Linked DNA regions of Cricetulus griseus. The main gene of each other region encodes a partner of the protein of the gene in region 2 in a complex. Links are inferred from orthologs where the notes say so. Each region holds a gene or a part of one and is shown on either strand. Other genes may lie near its edges.

Evidence for each region. The genes of interacting proteins can lie anywhere in the genome.
Region 1: Lin54 (region 2) and Tfdp2 share a complex: the UniProt entries of both Homo sapiens proteins name them as parts of the DREAM complex. The link is inferred for Cricetulus griseus from reciprocal best matches to the Homo sapiens genes LIN54 and TFDP2.

Annotation. Positions count from the first base shown.
Region 1 is NC_048597.1:204,909,683-204,912,980, reverse strand, and holds part of Tfdp2 (transcription factor Dp-2), read right to left. Parts: intron 3,269-3,298; coding exon 3,085-3,268; 3' UTR 1-3,084. UniProt on the Homo sapiens protein: Can stimulate E2F-dependent transcription.
Region 2 is NW_023276807.1:162,482,540-162,486,192, forward strand, and holds part of Lin54 (protein lin-54 homolog), read right to left. Parts: coding exon 3,508-3,653; intron 1,463-3,507; coding exon 1,261-1,462; 3' UTR 1-1,260. UniProt on the Homo sapiens protein: Component of the DREAM complex, a multiprotein complex that can both act as a transcription activator or repressor depending on the context. In G0 phase, the complex binds to more than 800 promoters and is required for repression of E2F target genes.

The DNA of each region.
Region 1 (3,298 bases), on a different chromosome or scaffold from region 2:
GTTTAGATAGAAATGGCAGAATGAGAAGGCCTGCAGGGACTCAGTGGGCCACTTCTTCATCTTGATTGTCTGATAGGGATATTCTTTCTGAGGACAGACTGGGAATTATCTTCCAAAAATTATCGATTGAGTACTGCTACTGCTTTGATTATATTCTGTTAACAGGAGGAGTTCCTCATTCATTCTGGCAAAATGGCAGATTTTCCTCCCTCCCACTTTAAAAGAATCAAGAAAGGGGCTGGAGAGATGGCTCAGCGGATGGGAGCATTGGCTGTTCTTCCAGAGGTCCTGAGTTCGGTTCCTGGCAACCACATGGTGACTCACAGCCACCTTAAGTGAGATCTGGTGCCCTCTGCTGGCATGCAGGCAGAAGACTGTATACATAATAAATAAAGTCTTTAAAAAAAAAAAAAGAATCAAGAAAGATGCAGAGCATGTGGTCATTGGCCTGTTTTCTGGGGACCTTTCAGAGGGAGGAGGATTCTGTTGAGTCCCTTTCTTCCTATGTAAGGCACAATAAATGCAAACACTGAACAGACTTCCAGTGGGGGACAGGCAAAGGGAGCCTGCTAAGCACCGACTGCTGCACAGCTGTGTAGCTGGTGGAACTGTTCCTCACACGGAGAGTGAGAACTGACAATAGTGTTATACACATGAGAAATTGAACCTCAATAGAGAAAAGCCTCTTGACACATTAAGCAGTGTGCCCAGCACCTCTGGGGGAGGGTAACAGCTGTGTGCAAGGAACCTGTGTACCCCACCTACAAAGAAGCCAGATGCTATGACCACAATTTAACTCCTCCCCCTTCCATTCCTGTACTATGATTTGGTGTTTAAGGGCGATAAAGAAGACCAGAGTTTATCCTTTGCAACATCTCAATTTAGGCTTTCCTTTCTTTACTGCATTATGGTCTCATTTTGTAGCTGTGGCTGGTTTCAAACCTCTGATGATTCCTTTGCCTGTCTAGGATCACAAGTAATCCTCTTGGTTCAGTGTTAAGCCAGCAGCACCTGATGACACAGGGGTAACTAGGATGGCCAGGGCGAGGCACACAAAGATTGAGTCTTTGGTTGCCCCACTTCAGACAAGGATTTCACGAAGCCCAGGCTGTCCTTGAACTCAGTATGTAGCCAAGGTTGACTACCTTCCTGCCTCCATTTCCCAAATGCTGGGGTTAGAGGCATACAACATGTCCAGTGTGATTGCCCCTTTCAAGCCCAGCATACAGCAGCAGGGATGAGACAATGGGGGAAAGTTCCTTGAGAACTCTTGCAAGGATTTAGCTGCCTGGCAAAAGAAATGGGTGTAATGTGTGCATTTGCTTTAAGTTCTGAAACATCTTGGGACCAGTAGGCCAGTATTTTGAAAACTAAAAAAGCAACTGTTGCCCTTGATCTCTCCAGGTCTCTGCTAGGCTCCCTTAAGTACAGAGACAGAAATGAGGCACTAACGGGAGGTAGCCCCTGTTGCATATGGACCACTTTGCTCTGACAGCCTAAGATGTGTGTTTTAGAACTCATGCCAACACAACCTGCCAGAACCTTTGTGCCCCTTGCACACTCAGGTTTGCACTACAGCTTCCTTCTGATACAATGAGTCTCCTCTCAAAGGAACCTAAGCTGTATCTGCACACTCGTATTTTCACGCTAACGGCCTCACAACATTTAAGTCAACCAAAGCTTTTGCTTCCAGCTCAAGCTTCCCCCATAGGACTAAAAAGAGCAGCATTTTGGACTGAGCTTGGTACAGGATCCACAGACACCAGATATACAGGATCAGGACAAACACATGCGACTTCAACTGGCTTCAGAATTGATTCCATTCCCTGCCCTCTTTCAAGGCCTTAATGTGTTAGTTAAGTTGGGTTTGGCTTGGCAGTGGATGTCCCGTGCTCCCCTACTGAGAGAAGCAGAAATCACAGACACACTGCAGTAGTTTCATGGCAACAACTTTGGCTTTGTATCCACGAATGACATGCCACGATAGCACAGATGCAGTCAACTGGAGGGTTCAAGATTTTAACAAAAACACTGAATATTGAGTTAGTTTGAAATGCAATTTACCCAGGAATAAATCTGATAAGATCATTTTGATAATTAAAATATGAAAAAGATAACATGTATAAGAGAACAATGATGTTCATATTCTTGAAATAAAGACAAAAGTAATGACATTTGGTTCATTTTCACAAATTGCACACGGGTAAAATCATACAGTACTGCAGACAGCTATGGACAAGCAATTTGGTCAAAGAATTTGCTTCTTTGTTCAACTGTAAATTCAAAAGCTGTATGAAACGCATAGCTTTGATTAAAACTGTAAATACAGTTTCCTTCTCAGTAAAACTCCAAATTTAGAATGCTGGCAAAAGGCAGTGCTGGCGAAGTTTTAATGCACATGGAAATGCTATTCTATTTTGGCTCCCAGAAGTAGCCCTAGAAACTCCTATGCACCAATGCATTGACAAATGGTCACTTCAGTGTTCTGTAAATTATTCTAAATGTCAACTAGGTACTTATAAGGTAGCACTTGCTCCCTTCTAGAAGCTAAGGCAGCAGATGCGCAAAGCACCTCAGCTAGACTTCCGGCTAGCTCAACAGTTCATCTGTGCTCCTCAGGCCACAAGCCTGCAATCTACATCCCTCACTGTACACCCACTGGGACTTTCAAGTTCACTTTTGCCTATAAAAGGCAATCCGACAAGGGAGAAAACCATCATCACTGCATACTCACAGCAATCGCAAGTCTAAATGCTTATACATTGTGGGGTCTTCAAACCCCACCTCCCTGAAAACAAACCTCATTCACTGCCATTCTTCATGGATTATTCCCTCTCTCTCTGCAGAAAGCATGCTTTGTTGACGATGTAACCTACTGCTGTTGCTTAGTTTTCATTCACGCTACATTAACTTTCATTTCAATCATCTCAGCCTTCATGTAATTTGCTTATTGTGTTTCTCTAGTTTTCACTAAACACAAATGCAAACAAAGGCAAAGACTGAAGCAATCATTTCAAAACACAAGAGCTCACACTAAAGACACACATGAGCATCAAAGGTTAAAACATGAGTTTTTTCCTGTCTTTATTCTGGGGAGGAGGAATCTTCCTCCTCATCTTCCTCGTCTTCATCGTTGAATGAACAAGGGGTCTCGCCGCGGGACTCAGAACAGTGAGAGGCCGCACTACTGGACTGGTGACTGTCTGGGGCAGGAAACTGCCCAGTCGCTAAGGCCACTTCAGCATCCAAGCACAACCCTTGGTTTACACTAGCAAGTAAGTTAAAAACATACAGGTTC
Region 2 (3,653 bases):
TCCTTGTAGGAGGGTAATAAGCATATGCTATTAGTTAGCAAGGATTAAGGTACCTTACAAAATGCCTCAATTCCAACACAGTTTTCCCTTGTTATAAACTCAAGAGTCCTATTACAATAGGTTCCTAAGAGCATACAGTTTTTAATTACTGAAAATGATTTAGGTTAATTTGTGCAATTATGAGAACACACATACTTCAGCCTACCAAATCACTGGCTTTAGCATTGCTGAATTAAACTGCCTTTATAAGAAGATAGCTCACGACAATTGTGAAAGCTGCTAGGAGGCCCGTTCAATAAATCAGGTAACACATATTGATTCAAACTTAGTTCCAAAAGTCTAGATACAGAGAACTGTGTGGATAAAAACTTCATCATACATAATCTCAAAGCTTTGTATCCTTGCTTCTCCATCCAAGTCAAATTTTGTACTTGATGCTCATGAGTCCTACATTATCTTGCCATAAAACGTTTACTTCAGTTCACACCATCTCTCATTTTAAAGTACTTATCCATAATGACTTTGACAATTATTGTAAAACATACCACCTCCTTCAAAGAAAATAAAGACATCCCAGAACATGTTAGCCATTCCTCATCACAGAGACACACTGCCCATCCGTCTGTCCCTTAATATTTTGTTTTCATTAAAGAAAAGACAACTTGAATATCTGAAAAGTGTGATTGGGATTGTTTCCCCTTCTGATTTCCCAGAGACAACAGATAGTATTCCAGAATCCACCCAAAAAAGCTGATTTTTCTTTAAAAGGATGGTGTTTTTCTAGACAAAATGTTATATGTTTCATTAAGAATCTGGGTATGTGGACATTCTACCTGTGAATGCTCTGGGTCTGGAGCCAAAGAATGGGTAGCTGCTTTGGCTTTTTCTACTGAACAAAGTCATACAACACCATACATTATAAATGATATTACAATAATTTATGAATGTACTTTGTCAATGGAATCAGAAGGACAGAACATCTAATTCTTAAGAAACCCAAGCAAATTAAAAAATATGTAATACAATAAAGGAAAAATATTTAAAGAAAAAATTTAGAAGGGACATAGGCAGAATTAACTAAGATTTAAAATGTACTAATTTCTTCATTTAAAGATTCTTCTCATTCAATATTATAGTTTCAGGTCTCTTAAAACAAGGGCTGAATTAAAATACAGTAATTGTTAAACTATCTTCTAGAAAGTCAAGTGTTCCGGAACCTTAAGTTTTCTGTACAGTCCACGTGCAGCTTTTGTGCAGGAGTTAGCAGTGCATGGCACAAGGGTCACTTTTTGCTTTCCCTGCAGAGTTGATGACGCTCATCAGACACCGTCCAAACTCCTCAAGTATCATCCGCTCTGCCGCAGCCTTTGACTTCCCCTTCTTGTCTGCCTGCTCTGCCTGGGCAAGGAGGCAGTTACACGTGGCTTCAGCTACTTCCTTAGTTACAAATGTAAATGGCAATCTGAAATGATGTTTGAGAGAGAAACACAGGTGATCATGAAGTTGACCTGGGATTCTACTGGTACCTTCGTGCTGCACCAGCAAAAGGGACATCAGTTTGAGTCAAACACAGCCTCAAGAGCTCTAAGACACAAGTTTGGTCTCAGTAAGCACATCTAAAAATATTTATCAGGAAACACATTTAACATAAAACACATGACTTACTTCCCAGACAATGCTATCTGGCTCAATAAAATCTGTACCTCTCCACCTATACTGTGCATTCTTTCACACAGATCTTCCCAGTGTGTGAATGCTCTTTGAGTGCTGCCCTGGCTTGAGGGCCTCTTTCCTGACACACAGAGGAATTCCATGAACACTACTGGGAACCAAAAGAACTACTGAAAACAAAGTTCTACCACACTCCCTCATATTAATTGTTAAAAAGAACAAAAGCCTGATGGATGTGTGGCACACACCTTAAACCCCAGCACTCGAGAGGCAGAGGCAGACAGATTTCTTCAAGTTTGAGGCCAGCCTGGTATACATAGTAAGTTTCAGGACAGCTGTGACTACATAGAGACCCTGTCTCAAACAAACAAAACAACAACAAAAACCCCACTAAATCCCCACCTTATTCCATCACAATAAATAACAAAGGAGTAAACAGACATGTTCTACAAAGGTCCTACAGTGTAGCCAAGTAGTTTCAAAGCCTGAGAGAGATTAATTAATTCAGGCAACTAACAACTTGAAGGACTAAGAACACCCTGTAAGCCAGTTGTTCTCAGCTTTCCTAATGCTGTGACACTTTAACATAGTTCCTCATGCTGTGGTCACCCTGGAACATAACATTATTTTTGTTGCTACATCGTTAACTGTAACTTGCTACTGTTATGAATTATAATTTAAATATCTGATATGCAGAATGGTATAACTTGACCCCTGTGAAAAGGTCATTTGACCCTCAAAGGGGTCACAACCTTCTTGTTGAGAACCTCTGTAATAGATCATTTACAAGGTTCAGTCTCTTAATTTCTCAAATTAATCTATAATACACTAATATAAATAAATCCAAGTCCAATTTACTGTGTTAACAGCAGACCTTGAAAAATACTGGCAACAGAAATGCTTCATGCAGTTCCCAGAAAGCTGAGACGGGAGACGGAGTGTGTTTTTTCCAGACTAGGAATTAACTCAGACAGAAAACACAGGCTACCTACTTTTGTAGGCATATATTCTTTTCAGGTAATTAAGTTATGTATTTATATATAATTCCTTTATATATTTTATATATAATTCTTAAGATATAATACCCTTGCTTATTTTTATTAATTTGTTTTTACTTACTGATTTCTTTTTTCAAGACAGGGTTTCTCTGTGTAGCCCTTGCTGTCTAGGAACTTGCTCTGTAGACCAGGCTGGTCTCGAACTCAACCTTGAATCCACCTGTCTCTGCCTCCTGAGTGCTGAGATTAAAGGAGTGCACCAACATACTCAGTTGTTTATTTTTTATTTTGTTTTGAGATGGGGTAGTGCTTTATTGTGCAGGCTGGCCTGGAATTCCAAATGATTCCTGCCTCAGCTCCTGAGCAGCTAACAGCAGCCACCACTGTACCAATGCATGACTTAAGTCAAACTTCTGCACTCCAGAGCTCTGCAGTCTAGTGAGGCAGGAAATAGGAGACTACACTACCACAGTGCAATGTGGAGGCCACGAACAGGACTAGTCACAGTCAAAAGTGCTAAAGAAATGAGGAGCACCACTGAAAGCACAATAAACCCAGGCTTTCTTAAAAGTTTCTCACAGTACATCTACCCAAGTTAGCAGACAGAAATCCTGTTAATATACATAGCAAACTAAAGGACTTCTGTGCATTGTAGGATCTGACAGTGTTCTCCCCCCTCCCAACTCACTTAAAAGGTAAGTAAGGTAGAAGGAAAATGGAAAATTCAGGTTGGCAACAGTGGAGAGTCTGGAGTTAGCATTGTCTCCCTAAAAAGAAGCCTTACTAAAAGTGAACGTCTGAGGCACAGATAAAAAGGCTTTGAGAAGAACTGACTCACTTTCCTCCTCCACTGTTCAGGGCTGGGGTTGGCCTCGTCAGCAAGTCTGAGATCTGAGAGGACAGCTTGGTCTTGGCTGCTGTCTGTTGCTGGACCCTCACTTCAGCTGCATCTGCTAAGTGCATCAAGGTCTTTCGTTCCGGGCT